6 linked regions of the Cricetulus griseus genome follow. The protein of the gene in region 4 interacts with the protein of the main gene of each other region in a pairwise test. Links are inferred from orthologs where the notes say so. Each region holds a gene or a part of one and is shown on either strand. Other genes may lie near its edges.

Region 1 (3,500 bases), on a different chromosome or scaffold from region 4:
CAGACGATGCCTTGACGTTGGGGTGCCACCTAGTGGACAAACTCCATAATGTTGCTGAGACTGGCCATCATCTTGTTTTATTAACTTTCAAATTTAATGTTTAGAATTAACTTTAAAAGCTGAAGGGAGTAAACACCTCCAGACCATACGTAATAGACCTTGGTCCTTATCCTCTGCTGGAAGTAACTCAGCTCTCAGAACAGAATCCTCACCTTTGTAGTGTGAGTGCTACATCCACACTGAAACCCCAACTAGCTGGGGCATAGAAAAGATTCTGGGGAAAAAAAAAAAGTCGCTGTCAGAGGTGGCTAACGGTTTTTCACAGGCATGTCTTGGAATGACCTGGAACTTTCTCTGTCACCAAGCAGAGACTAGCACACACTCCATTCTGCCTGGAGCCCAGCAATCCTCCTAAGTGTTTTCTTAGGCAAGTTTTAGCTTGTCCCTGCTCAGTTAGAGTATGCAGCCTCCCTTAACTTTCCCCCAGAGGTTACTTGAATGGTTTTTGCTTCTACCGTGATTTCTTGCAGGAAGGCTTTTGGGAACTGACTCTGCACTCGTCTCCCGGAGTTTATGCCACCAGTCCCACTTTTCTTTTTTTTTTCCAGCATAAAGGCAACAGTTTTTAAGTAACCCCTCCCCCAAAGCAAAACAAACGAAAAAATATAACAATTCTGTAGGCGAGTGCTAAAGGGACACTTGAAGGAACACCACTGGTCTGCATGCCCAGCAGGGACAGAACTCACTTGTCCAAGACAGAAACTCCAGAGGTCATGGCCTCTGGAAACACCTTGCAGGTCCCATCCTCTAGTGCATAAGCTACATGATTGTCCCCGTGTTTCAACTTAATTCTATGTTTCAACCAGAAAAAACACTCATGGGGCATGACACCCCCCAAAGTACAGCAGAACAAATTCTAAATAGTTTCCTTAAAACTTTAGCAAACATCAGTTCCACTCCCAGAAGCAATCACTTCGTTTCCTTTTTGGCTTTCGGAAGACCTCAGGTATAGACTCTTGGCATGCATACCTTTTCTCCATTTTTTGGAGAACGCCTTCCTTTTTGTTACACCGTTAACAAAACACCACCTAAAATGATGTTCTCTTCATTGCCTAATACAACATTACAACATACCATGGAGTTTAAGCCAGATCAATACAGCATTTAAAGCTTGGCTACATTGTACTACATGGATGCCCCATTAGCTTTTTAAGGAGTTCCCTCCTTAGAAAGCACATTTAGCTTATTCCCAATCTTGTGCTATTGTTTTAAATTATTGTTTACCCATAATCTTCTGGGCAAATCTGACAGCTTCTTCTACTGGGTCTGATGTCACAACTTCATCCAGAATGCCCAATTTGAGGGCTTCACCTGCTAAAATATGTCTTCCTGAAACAAAAGAAAAGAAAAGAAACCAGTGAACAATGTGGGGATGAACCAGGGCTTGCTCTCTCTGGAGGGGAAGGGGGCCGTTCCTGGATATACCCATTAGTAAGTAAAATGCATGAGATCAGCCTGACTACTGTAGTTGATGTTTTGTGTTTTGAGACAGGGTCTCACTGTAAGGATTCAGGCTTTATGCTGGCCTGCCCCTATCACCCTACAGAATGCACTCAGGCAGTATTTTGGTCAGCCCAGCATTCCATGACTACTTGCCTGCGTGCAGATGCAAAGGACCCCTTTAAAAGACAGACCCCGCCCACTTATGAGCTCTTTCCCTCTCTCTTCCCCACTCTCCCACTCTCTTCCCCGCTATTTCCCTGGCCAGACAGTACTTTTCCTGTCTCCCTCTTCTCTTCTGTCTTCTCTGTGCTCTTTACCTCTTTTCTCTTTTCTTCTCCCTCCCTCCCCTTTCTAATAAAACTTCTCACTTAAGCACTGTCTGCCTGGTGTGTCTGTCCCTCCGCCCCGGTCACGTTCGCCTGCCATGGAATCGGACAAGGTACCCACACGCCGTATCCTAACACTCACTATGTAGCTCAGGCTGGCCATGAACTCAATACACAGACCAGGCTGGTCTCAAACTCAGAGATCCACCTCCCTCTGTCTCCTGAGTACTGGGATTAAAGGTGTGTTCCACCCTGCTAGGACTGGGCTATAGTGGTTGAACATCAATACAAATGTAGCCAGGACACTTAAATTCAAGCTGTAGCTCTAATTCTTATTATTAGAGAAACCATAGGGAACTGTACGAGAAATCAAATTCCATGCCTGATAAATGGAAGTAATTATGTTTACTATAGTAATTCTGAGTATTAGATAAAAGAAAAGTGGTCTTTTTAGATACTTAGAGAAATATAGAACCCTGCAAGTCTCTGCAGATGTGTATGAACTGGTTGAGATTTGGACTGTGATAGAAGTGGTAGCCACAGATAGACAGGGCTATCTACCGTATGCCTACCACATACCAGGAACTGTATTGATCCAGAGACAGTCCCCAAATACAGAACTAGTTGGCTGAACAGAGAAACCTTAATAAAGGCCCAGTTCTGCTCCAAACGACTATGGAGCAAACACAGCCCTGCATGCTGAACCCAAAGCCTGCCCCCTGGCTTTGTTTTTTCCTGGATCACGAACAGTGTAGGCTGGACCTCAGTCTAGCAGGCTGTAACCCCAAAGCGCTGGAAGATGAGACCCCAAAGTGACTGGAGCAGAGCCGGCCTCTCACATGTTCAATTACGGCATGTGTCTTTCCAGATTTCTCCAAGAATTTTTCTCAAACTTAACATTTCGATGTCTTCATGGAACCTTTCTGAGATGTCATTTTAAAGCCAACCCGGGCCACCAAATCACACTGTCCACTGAAAAAGACAGGTGTGTGATTCCTGCGCCAGTTTACTTGCTGATTCACAGGGGCCTTTGCCATGCAAATCAAAACTTGTCAATCTCAGAGATTATGCTTCTTTCTCGTGATGCTACAATAACAGCATCTTATGAATCAGCGCTGTGGGCAAAGACCTTCACTTCTCTTTGTTACAGAAGTCGTTTTATTTTTTTCTTCCTGATTTATCTCAAGGTACTCTTGCCTTCCTGACGAATTTCTTCAATTTCCTCATAAGCTTAATTCTGCAGACTTTAGGGCTTGTAAATTCAGTTCTCGACACTGTTACTCTCTCATATATTTTGTGCTTCTGCTTCCATTTTGTCTTTTGCTTTGCGCTTCTGTAGGATGCTGAATTACAAGCATTCTCTGAAGAAATCGAAATGACCTCAAATACCTCACAGGCTTTTGAAATATACTTGTCATTAAACAACGTGTAACTCGATTATTTGAGTGAATTTCAATTCAATACATCTAGTTCTTCTAATTTTCCTTTCACACACCTCATTTAAAAGAGCGAAGCTACTTTTAATTCATACACACTATTGGTTTCTATGTTTTCGTGTCGGGTTTTTATCAGAGCATATAAATCTCTATTATTGATTCTAAAAAAAATTCATCTTTTCACATTCTTAGAAGTTATGAAAGACTCCAAAGAGCTACTAGTTATGTAGGTGGT
Region 2 (3,500 bases), on a different chromosome or scaffold from region 4:
AAGGAAGCACTGAAGGAAACCGGACAGGTGGCTTTCCTACAGTCTGCTAAGATCCTGGTAGACCAGATCGAGGAGGGCATCCAGAACACCTTCAGGCCTGACCCTCAGCTGCGGCTGCACTCCTTACAGTGCATCCCCTTGGATTTTGCTGAACTCTCCAGTGCCATCCACGAACTCTTTCCCACCGGACCCAAGAAGGCTTGCTCCTCAGGGGATTCTCTCCCTTCCCAGTATCCTATCCACTCAGAAATGATGATCGCCAGGAAGGTCACGTTCAGCACCCACAGCTTCGGCAACCAACAGATATACCAACGAAGCTCCTCCTTGCTGTCCTTCAGTGCCACCAATGATAAGGCCAAGATGGAGGCCTTTGGAAGGGCCCAATCTACTGCACCTGTCAGACCAACCGACGGCCTTTATACCTACTGGAGTGCCACAGGGGAAACCCAGCCCCCACAGAACAGCAATAGCTTCCACAACTGGTACTCATTCAATGACACCTCTGTGAAGACCCCAGGCCCAATTGTCATCTACCAGACTCTGGTATATCCGAGAGCTGCCAAGGTAAGACAAAGGGATGGTGTTGGGCACAGAACGAAAGCAAGGGGTCAGAAAGGGTTATCTTGGGCTCAAGAAGGTAGTCGCTTGAATCTGCTCCTCTAGACTCTTTGCAGCAGTCAGGCTAGTCAAATAGTGTAGGGTTCTGAAATGTTCATTAGCCCATCAGTGAAATGAAATCATAGTGGTAAGTACATGTAAATCCCCAGCCCTGCTCTACTGAAAAAGAACTGCCTGGGAAGACAGCTCAGAAGGCAAGGTGCTTGCTGTGTAAGCATGAGGACTTGAGTTTGCATCCCCATCATGTATGTCAAAGTCAGGCCTGCATCTATTGTACCAGTGCTGGGGAGGCAGAGGCAGGGATCCCAGGGTTTACCTGATCAGCCAATCTAGTGGAAAAAGTGGGGTGCCAGGTTGAATGACAGATATTGTCTAAGAAATAAGTATGAATAAACAAATAATAAAGGAGCAATGTGATAGAGAGATAGATGGTATCACCACTGGTCTTCAAACTAACAAAAGTCAAGGGAGCGCATGAGCACGCGCGCACTCGAGGGCAGGCAGGCAGGAAGGCACGCACGCGCGCGCGCGCGCACACACACACACACACACACACACACTCATACAGATCATGCCATAAATAAATGAGAGAGAGAGAAGTAAAAAGAAAGAGAATCAAGTTGGAACCAATGTAAGTTTCAAAATGGCTTGGGAGATGGTGAAAGTAGGAAGCAGAGTCTAGGAATGGGTTAGAAATATAGTCTCTTCTGGCTGCCAGCTGTGTGTTCCTCTAAACAGCTACCTCTCTTAAATTCAAGCTCCCTGTGGTTTGGAAAGATCAGAATGATAATGCCCAGGAAAATTCCAATTCTCTGATGAGATCCATCTTCTCTTAGCGGTGATGTGGAAAGTGGGGCACTCCCAAATCTCTGCACCTGTCATCACCTAAGGTCATTGGCCTTGACCTAACATGGACAAATGGTCTTTTCCTTATCATCTCTCTGAAATCCAACTGAGCTTAAATTGAATTGCTTACAGAGTACCTTATTCAAATTCAAAGAGGCAAAGTATTGCCAGGCAACTAAATATTGAATTGGAGAGTTTCTTGCCTCCTTTGAGGTTCCTACAGGGAGATACCTCCCATATTAGTCTGTGGCCTGCTTCCCGATGGCAGAACTCATCTTTTGTCCTTCTCCCAAAGATAATAGGCATCTTGAAGTCTAGACTCATGGTTCCCAAACACTAGCATCTCCTGAAGACCCGTTAGAAGGTAGATTCTGGGTCATTCTGTTATGGGGCCCCAGTGTCTGTCTCTCACAACCTGGGTGTTACTAAGGCTGCTGTCTGAACACTGTGCTTCAGTCGGTAGAGTCTAAACATGAGGAAATCAAGACCAGACAGAGGCCAAGCTTTACCTTCCCATTCTGCCAAGACATTGTAATCCTTGCTTCAGAGGCTTAAAACAAGTACCACAAGAACTATGCCAGGTAGGACAGTGCCCTCCTGGAGACCCTCGAACACAGTACAGTGGCCCTCCCTGTCCTTCACACAAAAGATGCCTGCATAACTAGCTAGGGTATAGGTGACATCAGTGAACTCCTGGTGACAGTGTGCCTCATCTCAGTGCTAACTCAGCCTCACAGGGAGTCCACAACTCCTGCTATGAAGCAGAAGGGCTCCATACTTAGCTCGGAGAAGTCACCTATGCTGCCTAAGAGTTACCCCCTGGATAAGCTTGTAGGGATCACCTACCAAGACAACAAAGCAAGTCACTGCCGCCTCACCTATGGCCAGACGGTGACTTAATGCATAATAATAATGATGGTGATAACAACAATAATAATGAAGATCTCTGATCTAGGGCCTTTCCCAGGATTCATTGTGCTCTACATTGAAAATGATTAAGTCTATGTTGACATAGAGATCCTAGAGATCTTTTAAGTCAATTTGATTTACAGAAATAATTTCTTAAGAAACTACAAAAAAAAAATCAGATGAGAATTTATGCCCCAAAATATTCATTACAGCATTTATCGGAGTATAAAACTAGAAAAACCTGACTACTTGGCTATAGAAATGGTCAGTTATCCTGAACATCGGGGAACTCTTGCTCCCCAGACTGATAGCTGGGATACTAGCATGGGACTGAGCCAGACCCCAGGAACATGGGTTTCAGTGAGGAAATCTCGGAAATCTATGGGACCTCCTATAGTTGTTCAGTACTTATCCCTACCACAGGTGTGGACTTTGGGAGCCTATTCCACATAGAGGAATACTCCCTGAACCAAGATGCACGGGGGTGGGCCTAGGCCCTATCCCAAAAGATATGATAGACTCTGATGACACCCTATGGAAAGCCTCGCCATCTAGGGGGAGCAGAAAGGATATGTGATAGATAGTATGTGATAGGTAGGGTTTTAGTTGCGGGGGGGGGGGGGTGGTAGGGGAGGACGGGAGGGAGAAGGGAACTGGGATTGTCATGTAAAACAATCTTGTTTCTAATTCAAATAAAAAATCTGCAAAAAAATAAAACAAAACAAAAAGAGAACATAAACAAAGAAATGGTCAGTTATTTCTGGAACAGTTTTTTTTTTTTTTAGGCTGTATTACACATATTCATTTTATTTGTGTATGAGCATGAATGTGTGTGAGAGAGAGAGAGGAGAGAGAGAGAGAGTAGATCTGCACATGCTGGAGCATACATGTGGAGGTAGAGAAAGCTGGACAGAGTCAGTTCTCGCCTTCACTGTGGGAATCCTGGGAATCAAAGTCAGGTCATCAGGTTTAACAGCAAGCACTTCACTCTCTGAGCCATCTTGCTGGCCTCTATGGGAGTTGTTAAAGGCAGTGCTTTACCAGATTTTTAACATGTAAGATATGTTAACTGTAAGTTAAGAGAATAAGCCAAAGCCATGCAATCCCAATTACATGCATTAGTGTGT
Region 3 (4,040 bases), on a different chromosome or scaffold from region 4:
AACTGATCATTAGAGCGGTAATTTCCACCTCAGAATATAAAGCTATTACCTGTGGTTGTATATCTTTTTATAAACTATGTCTAGAATTAGAGAAGGATTGAATAAATAAATAGTCAAAATAAGACCAAACAGAGAAAATCATCTGGAAAACCTATCAGACTCTACACAGGGCATCTTTCATCATTTTTATATTTCAGTTTTTTTAAATTATTATGTTACTTCAAGTATAGCGTTTGACCTAATTATACTTGTAAATGCTTCTAATATCAATGGGCACAAGCTAATTGATGCACTCCAACAGGTTTTTTTTCTTTCCCTGAAATCAGTTTGGTTTTATGCATAAACACAGAAAAGGTGTCTGTACTGGTCAGCTCTTGAAAAGTAGTCCAGGTCAGGGTCCACCTCCCTGGACCCCGAAGACTTGACCTCAGAAAGTCCCTCGATGGCTCAGGTCATAGATCTTGGTGCTGTGTACCTTATTCATTTCTTTTCTTTTGTGTCCTGAGGACATATGCTGGGACTTAGGGTTGGCCTCTGCTACCCATCTCAGTATCAAGTATCTCATTTTCTCCTAATTCTGAAGATACATTTTGTTTTGGTTTATTATTTTTTGAGACAGAGTTACACAGCCCAGGCTAAACTCAAAGCCACTATGTAGCAGAAGATGACCTTGAATTCCTAGTACTTTCACCTCTGCCTTCCCAGTGCTGGAATTACAAGTGTAATTCTAATTAACTGTAATTCCAATTCTGGCTTCCAATTCTGCAGAAAAATGACCCAATCACTTTTGCTTTTTCAGCTTACAAGACAGAAGCCCACCTACCTCCCAGGACCTCACAGTCACTGTCCATGCTGTCATGTACACCTGCGAAGATGTTGGCCAGGGTGGACTTGCCTACCCCTTGCTCCCCTATAAGCACCACTCGGTAGTAGGTGTTTCCTGACTCAGAGGAGATGACAGAGTCTGTGGAGTCGGAGGACCAGCTCTGTCGGCAGTGGTCTTCAGGAGTGGTAGAGCGGCAGCTGCGGAGGTTCCAAGGGTGAGGATCCTTCTGGACCATCAGATGCCTGCCATCAGCAGGGATGCTCCAGCGCTGCTGTGGCTGCATGCCCACAGTGCCCTGGCGCATGGTGACATTATTCAGAGTCATTGTGGGGTCCTAGGAAGCAAAGCAGTCAAGATGCCAATATTAGCAAGGATGAGCTAGGCCCAAGGAAGTCCAAATACTGTTGTCAGTGGCATTCCATTTGATTGGTATGAATTAAGCATCCTTTTTTTTTTCTTTTTTTTTCTTTTTTTTTCTTTTGGTTTTTCGAGACAGGGTTTCTCTGTGTAGCTTTGGAGCCTATCCTGGCACTCGCTCTGTAGACCAGGCTGGTCTCGAACTCACAGAGATCCTCCTGCCTCTGCCTCCCGAGTGCTGGGACTAAACGTGTGGGCCACCAACACCCAGCAAGCATTCTTAATATAAGGAGCACCCATGAAGCAGTCCCCAAGGCCCTAGCATGCAAATCTTACACACACACACACACACACACACACACACACACACATACACACGCAGCTTCTTAGGCAGGCTGTCATTTGCATTTCCAATAACATCACCAACTGCCTATAAGCAACCTCCATCCTTAAAGAAACTTTGAAAATCCCACTGGGAGGTGGCACAGAGGCAGCTGGAAGGAACCCACTGCCTCCAGAAATGGCTTTACCATCAGCAACAAGTCAATGTTGCTGGGGACCAGCTGGCCAGGTTAGCTGCTCTTGTCTAAACATGGCTCTTAATTGCACCAGCGTCTTGGAGCTTTTGGGGCCTCAGTGGGAGGCACGTGGCAATGACATCACTCCCCTGGCTGGACCGGACAGGCACTTTGGGGGAACTTCCATGTTTAGTAAAGTTGCCCTGATGTTCTCCAACTGCCTGAAGAGAACATTACTTGGGAGTGGGGCAGTTTGTGTTTAAGGTTTATGCCTTACCTCTGCCCTCTTGCCCACAGATACTGTTTAGCATACTAGCCCTGAGCCTAGTCCTTCTCACACTGGCAGGACCTGCTCACATTTGCACACATCAACTTGTGCAGAAAGGGCTTCATTCTTAACGAACCTCGTCTACACCAAAATTTATTTAGTTAGCTCAATGTTCCACCCTCTTGAGGTAAATCAGAAGGTCAAAGACTCAACGAAAAGACACTCAACAACTTCTTACTACTTTCTCCTTGCAACACCTCCTTGCTTGACAAGTCTGTTCTGTCAAGACTTCCCTAGAGAACACAGAAGCAGTTAACTCAGCAAGCGCCCCGCGCGAGCGCTAGGATCGCACTGAGCTCACACACCCTACTCCACACCCCAACTCCTAAGCCACTAGCCAGAACCAGTCGGTTTCTTTTTAAGTCATAAAAACAGTCCCTGATTGATGGCCGCCTGGCCACCTAATCCTTAAGGTGACACTCCTCCGGGACTGAATCAAGGAACCCCCATGAGAAGTATGTCCTCTGCACCTGAACTTTTCTCCCATGGCAGAACCTCCGGCACAGACCTCATGGTCCGGGGGCTCCCTTCCCAACTTAAAAAGTTCAGTGGCCCGGAACTCCCCTCCCAGACGCGGCTCCCACCGCGACTGCCCCTCCGCGATGCCCCCTTACTTGGTTGCACCCGGCCACAGGGTCTGCAGTCGGTCGGCACAATGCCTGCTGCCTGCTGCAATGCCTGCCGCCTGCGATGCGATGCTGGCTCCGCAGCCCGAGACCGTGTGGTATCAGCCGGCAGCGCCGCCTCCTAAAGCCACCTCGGCCAGCCACCGCCGTTTATAGCACGCCCGGCGGCCCCGCGACAGGGCTTTTCCGTGACGTCAGCGCTCCCGCTGGGAGGGGGCGGCGCTGCAGCAAACTCTTAAGTTGCAGCCACTTGGCTAAATCAGTTACTAGCAGTCATGTGATTACCCTCGCCCCTTGAGGGGAGAGAGGGAAAAAAATGACAGTTCAGTCCTTGGCCTCCTTGATTTTGTTTTATTTTCTTTTTACCAGGTGGACACTGGAAAAATACACTTAGTGCTACTTAATCGCCCTTCCCAGCAGGGCACTTGTGAGCTGTCTGAATAAAGGATGGGGAAAGAGACAAGCCTGAGTTGCCGCGAGTCCAGCTTTGCCAAGAAAGCAGATCAGCCTGAGTGAGCAAGACTTCTGCCTCCAGGCTACTCTCACACTGGGTGGGCAGGCCAGTTTTACAGCATGCTCTGAGAGGCAATGGGCTCTCCTGCTTCCCATCACCTTCTCTCTGGGGTGGGGAGAGGGGAGCACCACACTACTTTGTTTCCCTCTTCTGGCTGGAGACCCAAAGAGAAGGGGCCAGAGGAAAGAGCTGGGGAAACCTTGGAAAGGGCAGTTTGGCTCCAAACAGCTTGCGATAAACATTCCTGTTCTGGCCACAATGCTGACGTTTCTCAATCAGAAATTTAATCACATCCCAATTGGTGCAACTCAGAACCTAGCTGCATGGCTGGAACTGTGCCCTGGAGCCTGGGCTTCCCAGCCGTGGGGAGATGATCAGGCCCAATCCCCTGAGAGTCCTGGTAGTGAAGGACACAAGATCGCAACTGCTATTAACATTTGCTAGGATTTCCAAAAGCCTGTGGTACTGGTGGGCCCGGGGACCTTGCTCCTTACCACAGTCGTAGATTGAGGAACTAGAGATGCTGCAGGATATCAGGGCCGGTGGCAGGGGCAGCATTTAGGACCTAGTTTGAGTAACTTTTTACCTGCACCACTAAGTGACCTCTTCCCCAGGACCTGGGTATTTCCCAGGGACATGGGCATTTCCCACATGCTGTGTTTAGAGTCCATGCTAGCCTGTCCAACACATCCATCTGCTTCTCTAGCCAACTTCTGCTCTGGGTTGCCTGGGAAGCAGCCAGCAACACCAGTGTCTCTTGCAGAGGCTGTGGGTACAATGGATTATTCCCAGTTTTCCTTGGGCATCTATCTGATTTGGGAATTATGCAAGTGACTGGCTTCTGAGGTCTGTCAAGGACCAAGCTGGCAAA
Region 4 (3,500 bases):
CCAGTAACAAATTAAATTCTTTATCTCAGGGTTCTAGTATGTTTTGTTAATTAATTGTATCAGGTATAGCATTTTGCTTTTGATAGTTGAGTTATTATAATTTTGGTTTTATTCATTAGTTCAGCCTGTTTACCCCAACTTCTATATCAAGTCTAATAAAAAAAAATCACAATTTAGGCAGTACACATTTTAGATACAGCTACTCTCTCTGTTCTACCTCAGGCTGAATGGTCCAGTTTCAAAATAGGCAGAAGACATAAAACTAACAGCTTAAAGGCAAGTTTCAAGGAGTTAGCCTTTATTGAAATGTTGGAAGACTACTTGGTTTGAGTAGGGACATAAAAAGATAAAGACAGATTTAATCATTTCAAAACAACTGTTTTTCAGATCTATTTAGTTAAGGTGTTCTTGTGAACTGAGACATAATGTTCTCTGTATACTAGAACTCAAGAATCTTAATCTGCCTACCTTAAATAGTGGATGTGAAGGCCAGTATATATTTCTCATATAGTGAAATGTTATAGGAATGTAAGTTAATTACTGCTGATAAAGTTGGCTTATATTGAGGAGTGGTGCTGAGTTGTAAGCTATGAGGGTCAAAGCTAACTTCTCATTGCCTTTGGTATTTGAAGGTGGCCATTGATTAATAGCCATGAATATTGCAATGTTCATAAAACAAGGTATGTGTTGAGCATTCTGCCACAAAAGGTGCCCCTAGGGCTCCCATCTTTTGTTGAACTTCTCACCCAGTTTATCATTTTTGCTTCTTTCCATCATAGCCCCTGAACCTTTTGACTGTAAACCATAGGTGATCCCTGTTGCCATCACTGTTAAGGAGTCCATACCTTGCATCACGCCTAAGGTGTTTCTTCTGCATACTTTGCTTGTTTTTGGCTTATCTGGCTGCATAGAGGCAGATGATTCATTTCTTGTCTCCACTGCATATTCCCAGTACAGCCTTATGGATTGATAGGAACTTAGAGTACCAAGAACTGGAATGCTTGCTTAGTCTGACCTTGTTTTATAGGCTGATAATCTGTAGCTTAGAAACTTCCCAAGGGCCAGAAACCAGTTATTAGAGTAGGAACTAGAATCTAAAGTGTGTTTTCTTTGTAATTTGGTTTTATTTTAAAAGGACTGTTTCATTTGGAAAATACCAAATATTTATAAAATTTAATAATGCAGTGAATCCCCATTTTATCTTTGTCCATTAACCTCAGCAAACACTAGCATGTTGTCAACTTTCTTTTATGTGTATCTTACCACAGAATATTTTTACACAGCACATTACTTCAATATATGTGTGTGTTCAAAATGTATAGAATTTTATCTCTTAAAGATAAATGTCATTTAAGAAGCATAGTATATATTTTTAAAATAACAGAAAATGACCTAACTGGTTTCATCAAAACACATTGCCTCTCTTGATAATGCAAGACAGTTCTTATAAATATGGTACTGCTGTTACTAGCTGAATTGTACATTCTCAGAAATGACAACCTGAAGTGCTTTGCATGGCTAAAGATTGAAAAATTTACTACAGTTTCTCCTGTATTTCCTATTTCATTATATCCCAGAGCACAGCCCTGGATGTAGACTTTTACTTACAGAATTATCTGGGAAATTGGGGTAAATTTTGAATGTCTTATTAAGGATTATTAACAGAAAAAAAAAGTAGTGACATTTATTTGCAGATGGCAGCTTCCTGTCTTGTTAGATTTTAAGGTATATACATCTAGTCATCCCTTAGTTATTTCGATCTCTTAATAGCCTTACTGTATCATTTACCTTGGCAGAGCTTCTATATTATACTTCCTCATTAGGGTCCAGGCATGGAAAGATGGGAGTAAGCAAGTATCTGTCCATTGGCTGTCAGTGGAATGACCTCTCTTGTCTCCTTTTACTGGAAGTGACTGAAGCTTGAGTAAAACTGCACCTAAAAACCAAAGATCTCCCTTAATAAGTATGGCTATAACTTATCCGTCTTAGGATTTTAGACAAAGAACAATTATCATGTATATTCTACATTGTAAATTTTAACACACTCAGCTTCTGTTTTGATTGTCACAATTGTGAAGAAGTACTTAATGTTAGTTTTTACAGAGACACTTGTCATTTTGATCAATACCTCATAATCCAGGCCTTGAAAGCAGTGATTTAACACTTAAACTCACACATGAATTTTCTAACTCTCTGCTCTCCTCATTACGCTTTGTGCTCAGGGTTGGCAATGCCATAGAGCAGTGGTTGACACAGAAAGACTCAAAACAGGTGGTTAGTGTTGTATAGGTAAATGATGAGGTGAATGGTGGCATTAGTGACCTGGCCTCTGAACGAATGGGACGTCAAGACTCTCTTTCTTTCTTTCTTTCTTTCTTTCTTTCTTTCTTTCTTTCTTTCTTTCTGTCTTCCTTTCTTTCTTTCTCTCTTTCTTCCTTACTTCCTTCTTTACTTCCTTCCTTCCCTTTCTTTCTTTCATTCCTCCTTCCTTCCTTCCTTCCTTCCTTTCTTTCTTTCTTTCTTTCTTTCTTTCTTTCTTTCTTTCTTTCTTTCTTTTATTCCTTTCATGATTAGGAAGAAAAATTCTATCCCCTGAGTTTATGTCTTCCTTATTTCACTTACATTTTTAGCTTTATCTTGTGATGTCTAGGGCTATTTACAAGATAGAAATAGGCTGTCATAGTTTAGATTGCACAGCTTTATCTGATCTCATGCTCTATGCAAAATGGACATGCTGTTGTTCATTTGGTGTTTATTTCTTTTATGCAGTTCTTTCAAAAGTTCTCAGTTCTTACTGGGTTTCATTAAAGATATCTTCAAGATAAAACAGAAAATAACAAATTGCAGATGTGTTGACTTGGGCCTTTCCTATTCATTTCTTTCTTATTGCTTGCACAGATGTTGTCAAGTTTAACCCTTACAGCCGGGACTCTTGTGTTCACAGTGCGCAAATCTCCAGGGAGTCAAGATGCTCTGCTCAAACGCAGAAGGCGCATCCCTGAGGCTCTGTAATTTTGAGGATCCTTCCGGTCTTAAAGCCAACTTAGAGGGTGAGAACCTGTCTGCCTGTCCCTGCCTAGAAAGAAACCATTAATTAAAAGTTGTTGTTAGAGGTGAAACAGGAAGGCTGTGGGTGGAGCTTCCTCTGAGGCCAGAACTGGAGAGTCACTTTACTTTGGTCCCAGTCTGTTAAATATCTATCAAACTCTGAACTTTTTAATAGAATAAAATATTCTGTGTTGACAAAAATGAAGAATTTCAGTTTACCCTGCAGTGTTGTGTCAAGTTTTAATACTTCATTAGTGTTTCGTTGTTTACGAATAGGACATTTTATTTACTTAGATTTAGGTGAGATGGTGCTGGTGTCTCCCTTGATCATGATTTTACAGAGTCGTATTAGAAAAGTGCTAATTATCAACAGACAATATTGATTTCTCTCCTCAAAAGTATTGTTCAAGCATTTTATTTTATGCCACAAGAAAATAAATTGCTGGGGCTAG
Region 5 (4,113 bases), on a different chromosome or scaffold from region 4:
CTCTTCTTCCCTATATATAAAACAGTGAATTATTTCAGTAATAAAAAGGAAATCATGAACATTACAACACTAATAATGTTATAATTTGCCTTTTAACTCAGAAATATAGTGAAAAGAGGTTTTTTTTAAACTAGTTTATTTAAATTTATTTTATGTGCATTGGTGTGAAGGTGTTAGATCTCCTGGAACTGGAGTTATAGACAGTTAATGAGGTGCCATGTGGGTGCTGGGAATTGAACCCTCTGGAAGAACAGCCAGTGCTCTTAACCGCTGAGCCATCTCTCCAGCCCCTAGTGAAAAGAGTTTTAAAACTTACTTTTAGATCATTTATCATTTATTTAAAAAAATTATTTGGAGAACTATAATCAACAAAAGTTTCCCTAAGTGAACACCTCATAATCATCAACTCAAAATTAAATTCTAGAGTTGAAGAGAGACCTCAGTATTTAAAAGCACTGGCTATATCCAGAGGACCCATGTTTGATTCCCAGCACCCACATGGTGGCTCACAAAACTCCAGTTTCCTGAGATGTGATGCCCACTTGTGGTTTCTTTAGATACTAGGCACACGTGGTACATAGAGATAAATGCAGGCAAAAACACCCAAGCACATAAAATAAAAACAAACACATTTTTTAAAAAAATTAACCTTCTCAAATGGCAGCTATGACTACTCCCACTATGAAGATGAGGAAATTATAACTGAATTTTAGAGTAAAAATAAGCAATAAGAAAAGCACAGACTAGCCAGGTGGTTGTGGCGCACCCTTTAATCCTTTAATCCCAGCACTCGGGAGGCAGAGGCAGGCAGACCTCTGTGAGTTCAAGACCAACCTGGTCTACAAGAGCTAGTTCCAGGACAGGCTCCAAAGCTACACAGAGAAACCCTGTCTTGATAAAGAGAAAATCTGTCTTGATAAACAACAACAACAACAGAAAAGCTATACTGTAATTCTTCCATGAATTAATAATTACACAGTGCTAATAATCTAATAATAACTATAGATTTCAAAATAACATTAAACTCAAACCAGAAGTCTCAAAAAAAGGCATATCTGAACAGATATTTAGAAAACTATAGTAACAAAATACAAGGCTTTTGGTAACAACACAAACTACCTTCATTCTATCCTCTACAAAGGGGAAGGGAAATTATGACAGATGTAAGAATTAGGTCAAGGGCTGGTGAGGTGGCTCAGTGGGTAAAAGCCCTTGCCACTAAGCCTAAAGTCAGTCCTCAGGGCACACAAACATACATACAGGTGCACGTCATATAAAGTAAACAATCTAGTTAGATCAAGAAAAATCTGGTTCCCTAAATGCATCGTGATAAAGTAGGAAACCAGACTGTCACTAAATATCCCTTCCTTCATGGCTAGACTTAAAAGCATGATGCGGAGCGGTGGTGGTGGTGCTCGCCTTTAAATCCAGCAATCGGGAGGTAGAGGCAGGCGGATCTCTGTAGGTTTGAGGCCACCCTGGGCTACAGAGTGAGTTCCAGGACAGTCAAGGCTACACTGAGAAAACCTGTCTCATAAAATCAGGGGAAAAAAAAATAGAAAAGAAAAGAAAGCTTAATGACTACATCCTGAATGTCTTAAATGCCACTAAATATTAAGGATCACACTGTTTCACTCAGGGCAGTGTGCGGCGAGAAGGGGCTGGGAGAATGTCAAACCATCAGATAACGTGCAACATGTGAACCTGAACAACTAATATCAGGGAATGGCAGTCTTGGCTAAGCAATTTACAAGGATGTGCTTGTTCACAATATTTATTACCCCAGCAAACGTGCACTCCAAAATCTCACTGTTGAACAGAAAAACCTGGACCCGCTAAGGAAGTTATGAAAATTACCTAGGTCAACATCTGGGCACAAGTTCTAATGCAACAGTGTATTTACATAATTAACCTTATAGGTTCAGTTTGCATGACACGCTGAAAAAAAGAAATCCAATTCGTTAGCTAGTCTTAGAAGAAACTTTTTACCCAAAACATGGCAAGCATTACATACCCCCTTGAATCTACAAAGCTAATGCTGCACCATATATGCCATGTCTGCAATCTTCTCCAAGCTCAGAAAGTTATATAAACTAGTATTTATAAACTATGCAACTGTAGTTACAAGTCTATGCAACTGTAGACTGGCTGTTTTTGTTTTCCTATTGTAAAGTATGACCGTTGTCATTGCTCACGAAACTCGACGGGGGTGGGGAATCGGCATGCTAACTTACTAGTTTTTTTTTTTTTTCTTTTTCCCTTCCAAAGACGGCACATTCGGAACGTTTCCCCAGCAAATAATGGGAATGACTCTTTAGACTCGCCAGTCCTCCAACAGAGAGAGAGCCCCATTCCCAAGCAAAGGGCGGGGAAGGCGAGGGGAGCCGGGCTGTTTCTAGGTCTGGCTTTCACACAAAAATTCCTTCTGACAGGGACCCAGAAACCTAGGTGGCTCGGCGGCGGCGGGTCAACCCCGGGCCCCGGGGGTCACCGCCCACCCACGCGCATGCTTTAGGGGTGCGGGGCAGGGACCACACCGGGGCCGGGCGCAGTGCGGGGCTCCCGGGTACCTCGGTGTCACCGACCACAACGCTTCCCTCTCCCTCCGTGGTGCTCGACGGCCGTCCCCCTGTCCACAGCGCGCTGGCTGTGCCAGGGGCGGCCGCGGCTCACTCACCCAGCGTGGGCGCCTGGGGATCCACAGCAAACGCTGCCATCGCAAACGGCCAACACCACTCCGGCAAGAACGGTCCCACTTTTCAAAAATGGCGGAAACTCTCCTCACGGTTAAGGCCGCGCGGCCTTATGGGTGGCGTAACTTCCGACCATGCTCTCTGCGGCGGCTGTGGCTGCTTCCGCCATTTTGGAAGAGGGCAAACTTCTTTGCCTGGGCTGCGAGTCTAAGAAAGGTTCTTACTAGGGATGCAAGGAACACTAGGAGACCTCGTTCTACGAGAATGGCTTTGGTCAAGCCTCAGGCTTCCTGATATGTTGGTGTTTGTGCTTCATAGAAGAAATTTCTAATCCCAGCACTTGGGAGGCAGAGGCTGGTGGATCTCTGTGAGTTCGAGACCAGCCTGGTCTACAAGAGCTAGTTAGTTCTAGGATAGCCTCCAAAGCCACAGAGAAACCCTGTCTCAAAAAAACAAACAAAAAAAAAAAAAGAAAGAAAGGAAGGAAGGATGGATGGAAGGAAGGAAGAAAATCTTTGCTCACTTGATAATATTAGTGTGAGTTTTCCCAATGTACTGTCCACTTTCCTAACACCTGGGAAAGTAGGCTTAATGAAACTGTATATTCCTTTTTCTCAACTTTGTTTCTGCACTTGATATAGGACGTTCATTTCTCAAAGTATTCTTCTATCTAGATGTCATTTCTATTAAATGTTGTGTTATGTATGTAGGCACAATTTCATATTAAATCACAACCAGTTTGTTGTGTATTAATACATACAGAAGAATATAGACTTTAAAAATATGTAAATAAAGGTCATTCTGCCCATGACATTCCTGTCTTCCCCCTTCATCCTGCTGTTTTTTCCTTAGGGTATATTCATGTATTAATGATACACATGTACATAGGATGCATAAGTTAAAATGTTTAAGTTTCACTGTTTGCAAACTTAATTAAAAAATTAATGTGCTTCGTGTTCTATATTCTGGAATATGCTCTGAGCCTTTCCCAACCTTCCCAAAACATTGACATATCTTTTGCTATTTCCAAGCTTTCTAAAATCCTAAATCTGGGAGGATTTTTATTACTGTAGTCAAATGATAGTATTGTGGTGATCAAGTCCACTGGGAAAGACCAAAGACTTAGACTAATCAAATCTGGATTAAATTGATATATTCTTCTTACTGTTAGCAGAAGGATGACAATTTTAGAGCCAAAAAGCATGCTAGGCCAAATGAAGCTAAAGGAAGGGTTCATAAAGGTGGGGATTACAATTATCTTGTGCTTTATGGAATCCATGACTGGGTGAGAAAACTGCTTTATTCTCTCAGTTATTTCTCTTTCCTGTTAGACAGTGATAAGAAACTATCTTGTCACAGTTCCACAGTGACAAGAAGGTTTTCAAAATTGAGAGCAAGCAGTTAATTACCTCACAGCAGT
Region 6 (4,283 bases), on a different chromosome or scaffold from region 4:
TTCAGTATAGATCTTTCCAAGTCAGGGTCTGATTCATCGAGATTTCTGATGCAATTCCTTGCCCAGACCCTGGCCTATGGGAAGGTCTGTGCAAATGGCAGTGGACTCTGAGTCTCAACTGGTGAAGCTCAGGGAATCCTGGGAGTTAGACACTTCAGAACTGGCAGAAGGCAGGGGAAAAGGTAAGATGGGGAAGGAAGCCGAGCATACTCTGCCCACTTGCATTTTTTTCCCCATAAAACTGGGGAAAAATCTAGCATTGCTTTGGTTGGAGAATCAGATCCTAGATAGAGAACAAAGTGAAGGCTGGGACCTGGAAGGTCTGGCACCCTGGCCTGAACACTGCATCTCTGTAGACCTACTGCTCACCTAAATCCCCAAGGTCCTGGAGCCAGCTGAGCCACTTTCTCGTGGTGTGATCCAGCTCCCTGTCTGCCTGCATCTCTTGTCCTAACTTGGCCTCAGGATTTCTTGGGGCTTGTGACAGACACATTAATCAAGTTAAGGCTCCTTGGGGTCAGGGCAGTTTATACAACTCAAATTCACATTAGGCCAGGGTACTGATTCATGTGGTACCCTGTCTCTTGCCCAGGCTTCACTCATCTCAGCTTGGAAATTCAGATTCAAGGAATCTTTTGGGAATCAGAATATCAGTGTCTCTCCCAATATGTACACACAACAACCTCCAATGCCCCCAGCATCAATACCAGTGTCTCCCCCAAAGGTACACACAACAACCCCCACCCCCAGCATCTTTGCGGTGGACAAGTAGTAGTGCAGAACTCTGTGGATGTGTTCTGGCCCTCCATTCTCTGAGGTATCAAGCCCAGAGGGAAGACTCCACTGCAGATGGAGCGCTTGAGGAAAAGATGGGAGGGAGCTAAAGGAAAGGAGGGAGATAGGAAGAGACTGACTTGAGGAAATTTTTGTCTTGGAAGTGTATGGAGTTGGGGGGTGGGGGGGAGAAGGAGATGTCACCAGAGAAACGGTGTCCAATGACAGTCTAATCTGTTCTGAGAATACCAAAGAGGGAGAGCCAACTTTAATCACGGTCCTACTTGCAAAAGTTCCTTAAGTCTTGGTCTTTTCTGCTGCAGTCATCAACTCATTGATTAAATAGTGCCAGAGAAGGCCAGAGAGAAAAGCAGCACCCCTAATGACTCACAGATGTGAGGTGGGCTCCACTCACACAAGGCTGGATTTCAAGCAGCCTCCTAGAGGGTACACACAGTCTTCCCCGGCCTCTCTACCCCTCCCTTGAAGGCTCTATTCCTAACCTAGAGTCTACATCTATCTTTGACCTTTAACCTCAAATGGAAACAGGGGTCTGGAGTCTGAGGTCACTGGGGAGCTTACCCAGCCTGCACCTGCTCCCAGAACCTCTCCTGTGGTCCCTGGCCACTTGTCCCTGGAGACAAGTGGAGACCATCTTCTTGCCTCTAGCATTCCCCTCTCCTCTTTCCGGCGCCAGCCATATGGAACCACGAAGCGACCTCCCACTTAAGCCTAGGCCCAGAGCCACTAGGGTCCGAGTCCGGGTCTCGGTCGAGAACAAGGTTCAGTGAGTCTGCGGAGCCCCAAGGAACTCCAGCGCCTCAGTCTCTGCAGGATTTCCCCACCCCCACGCCGCATTCACTCCGGGCCTCGCGCTGCCCCGGGCCCTTTGCTCGGAAGGTACACGACCCATACTCGCTCTGTCCTGGACCCTCCTAATTGCGGGACAAAGGATCCCGCTGCAGCGGGAGAGCTGCTTGGCGGCAAAGACTGGTGCAGCAGGTACATACCCGGGCCGGTCGGCTGCCACGCCGCGGACACTCCCGCGGCTCCCGCCGCCAGGGCGCGACACGCCACCCCTGTTGTCGCGACTCCCGCGAGACGTCGCGGCTGCACGCGGGACCCTCCCCAGTGGGCTCGGGCTCGGGACTCACCAGCTCCGGTGAGCTGGACTTGGCTCAGGCTGCCGCCTAGACTCGGCGGCTGCCGGGGCTGCGTCCGGCGCAAGGTCCGCACCTCCCGGGCAGGAGGTTCCCGCCTGGCAAAGTCGGCGAGAGGCACCGGCTCAGTTGCGCACCCGCCCGGAGTCCAAGTGAGTCAGAGACCGAGAGAGCGAGTTATAGGGGTGCCGGGGGGTGGGGAGTACGCCACGCCACCCCGCCCCAGCCCCCCGGCGAGACGCAGACAGCCACTCGCTGCTGAGAGACCTGGACACAAAGACCGCGTGCCAGCTGCAGACGCAAGTTTTTCCCAAGCCTAGGGGCTCGACCCGCCTTCACCCAGTCACTGAGGGGCCCTGGACTTTGGAACCCCCGGAGGACTCGGGCTTTCCTCCGCACCCAGGATGTCTCCCTCTCCACGGCTCTGGCCGATCGGCCCTAGGATGAGCCTAGAGACACAAGGGAAACTGAGGACGCATGGGTGCCGCATCTCGGAGCTCTCGCATTAGTGATGGGGAGAAGGGGTTCTTCTCCGGGGTCCCCTTCGGATCTCTTGCTGTGGGCGGCGAGCCATCGGACTGGCCCAGGCCGGTACCCCAAGCTAGACTTCTGAGGTTCTGGGGCTCTTGGGCCGGTGCCTTGGGAAGGGGAGGCCACCGGTGTGAAAATCCAGGAATGGAGGGGGCTCTGGGTCTCCTGGTACCTGAGTCAGCCGCGCTCGGACTCTGCTCCGGGGGCTGCAGCTCGAAGCTCCGACAAGTCTCCACGTCCAGCCCGAGAGGGGGCGGCCGGGCCCGGCACAGAGAGGCCAGGACCGCGAGCGCCGCCTGGCACCGAGGCCCTCCGGCCCCCCAAACCCCGCTCATGCCCCGTACACTCAGGTCTGAGGAGCAGTGGCTCGCACCCCACACCACGGCCGGACTGGGGCGGGGCAAGGCGGCCCCAAGAAGACCCTCCCCGCAGCGGCCCCCTGCGGTTCGGCTCTGCTTTTAATCACTTCCCTGCAGGGTCCCCGCCCCTCACGTGGCATCCCGCGGCAGCTGGCAAGTCTGGCGCCTCTCGACCGCCCCCTCCACACGCAGGGACCTGCCCGAGTCCGGGAAGGTTCCAACCCCGCTGTCCCACACAGTGCAGGATTCAAGGCCAGCCGAGCAAGCACCGCGGAGGTGACCTTGGGCCTTTCCGGGACTCAGTTTTCCTTTTCGTAAAAGAGGTGTAATGATTACTGGTACTTCATGAGTTCCCTGGGAATAAAGGTAGTACTTGTGAAAACGTTGGGGAAATTGCCACATGTCACACAAGTGGGCATCGCAATAACACAACATAAAAAGGGATGGCCAGACTGTACGGCGGGAGAACCCTGCCAAGGTTGTTGATAGGAGAAGTTAGCCAGACTTGCCAAGTCTCAGCTTGGGAGATAAAAGACCCCAAGACTGCGGAGCGAGGGGAACTGCAAAGACTTTCTGAGCCCCACAGTCTTGTGGTCCGAGGCACCGGCACGTTGCTATGGAGACGGAGGCAGCGGCCGTCTCTCTCCATGGCAACGGGAGGAGAAAGTTTCTGGTGAATAGAAATGGGGAGCATTTCAGGAAGGGGTTCGGTTCCCACCAGACCCACCTCCACGCATCAGACCAAAGCCACCAGAAATAATATATTTGTCTATGAAGCATACATAAAAAGGGCCAGAAAGACAGAAAACTAAATAGAAGGCTAGACTGTAAAAGGAGCTCCCCTCGGGAACCGTGAAGTGAGACTCAGAATCAGGATGGTTGGGATGCTTCACTTAACCCTGGAAATCTGCGAGCCATTGCTAACTGCCAGGGGACCGAGCCCGGTAAGGTTCTATCACGGTGGATTCCTGTCCTTCACCTATCACCAATGTGTCACCTTCCCGAGGTGGCATCTTGGAAAGAAACTTTAGCTGGAGCTCCTCCTGCACCTTCAACTACGGGGCTAGTGTGCAACGGAGAGTGGTCGGGGAGGAGGGTCTTTCCTCCGAATTAACACGCTAATTGGAAGTGGCTTAGGCTGTGACTCAGGTTCCGGAGGGAGGAGATTCGGAGCGCCAACTCCAGGCGATCCCCATCGTGCACCTTCTGCACCAGCCTCATCACAGGTCCGTTACAATTGCAAACCCCAGTCAGGAAGGGCCGGGTGTAGCAAGGAAAACGCTGAGGCCCTGTCCGTGGTGCTGAAGGTTCTATTGGTACAACCAGCCTGTGCGCAATGTATTAGGGAACAACGGGGAGGGGCAATTAATTATAGCCGGTTCTCAGCTTCCACCCGGGTCCCTGGAGTCTGCCATAAAGAGATGGAGGATTTCAGGCAGGAGGAACTGAGGAGGCTTGA

The links.
Region 1: the proteins of Kctd9 (region 4) and Ehhadh interact in binary tests that used the Homo sapiens proteins (3 or more experiments, as listed by UniProt). The two-hybrid records come from large-scale screens. The link is inferred for Cricetulus griseus from reciprocal best matches to the Homo sapiens genes KCTD9 and EHHADH.
Region 2: the proteins of Kctd9 (region 4) and Trim42 interact in binary tests that used the Homo sapiens proteins (3 or more experiments, as listed by UniProt). The two-hybrid records come from large-scale screens. The link is inferred for Cricetulus griseus from reciprocal best matches to the Homo sapiens genes KCTD9 and TRIM42.
Region 3: the proteins of Kctd9 (region 4) and Gem interact in binary tests that used the Homo sapiens proteins (3 or more experiments, as listed by UniProt). The two-hybrid records come from large-scale screens. The link is inferred for Cricetulus griseus from reciprocal best matches to the Homo sapiens genes KCTD9 and GEM.
Region 5: the proteins of Kctd9 (region 4) and Nup35 interact in binary tests that used the Homo sapiens proteins (3 or more experiments, as listed by UniProt). The two-hybrid records come from large-scale screens. The link is inferred for Cricetulus griseus from reciprocal best matches to the Homo sapiens genes KCTD9 and NUP35.
Region 6: the proteins of Kctd9 (region 4) and Syt6 interact in binary tests that used the Homo sapiens proteins (3 or more experiments, as listed by UniProt). The two-hybrid records come from large-scale screens. The link is inferred for Cricetulus griseus from reciprocal best matches to the Homo sapiens genes KCTD9 and SYT6.

What each region holds. Positions count from the first base shown.
Region 1 is NC_048597.1:67,163,130-67,166,629, reverse strand, and holds part of Ehhadh (peroxisomal bifunctional enzyme), read right to left. Parts: intron 1,390-3,500; coding exon 1,285-1,389; intron 1-1,284. UniProt on the Homo sapiens protein: Peroxisomal trifunctional enzyme possessing 2-enoyl-CoA hydratase, 3-hydroxyacyl-CoA dehydrogenase, and delta 3, delta 2-enoyl-CoA isomerase activities. Catalyzes two of the four reactions of the long chain fatty acids peroxisomal beta-oxidation pathway.
Region 2 is NC_048597.1:205,877,635-205,881,134, reverse strand, and holds part of Trim42 (tripartite motif-containing protein 42), read left to right. Parts: coding exon 1-564; intron 565-3,500.
Region 3 is NC_048595.1:125,838,046-125,842,085, reverse strand, and holds the start of Gem (GTP-binding protein GEM), read right to left. Parts: upstream 2,801-4,040; 5' UTR 2,644-2,800; intron 1,161-2,643; 5' UTR 1,152-1,160; coding exon 824-1,151; intron 1-823. UniProt on the Homo sapiens protein: Could be a regulatory protein, possibly participating in receptor-mediated signal transduction at the plasma membrane. Has guanine nucleotide-binding activity but undetectable intrinsic GTPase activity.
Region 4 is NW_023276807.1:222,739,189-222,742,688, forward strand, and holds part of Kctd9 (BTB/POZ domain-containing protein KCTD9), read left to right. Parts: intron 1-2,944; coding exon 2,945-3,050; intron 3,051-3,500. UniProt on the Homo sapiens protein: Substrate-specific adapter of a BCR (BTB-CUL3-RBX1) E3 ubiquitin-protein ligase complex, which mediates the ubiquitination of target proteins, leading to their degradation by the proteasome.
Region 5 is NC_048599.1:94,462,575-94,466,687, forward strand, and holds the start of Nup35 (nucleoporin NUP35), read right to left. Parts: upstream 2,801-4,113; 5' UTR 2,718-2,800; coding exon 2,678-2,717; intron 1-2,677. UniProt on the Homo sapiens protein: Functions as a component of the nuclear pore complex (NPC).
Region 6 is NW_023276806.1:53,374,361-53,378,643, forward strand, and holds the start of Syt6 (synaptotagmin-6), read right to left. Parts: upstream 2,801-4,283; coding exon 2,638-2,800; intron 1-2,637.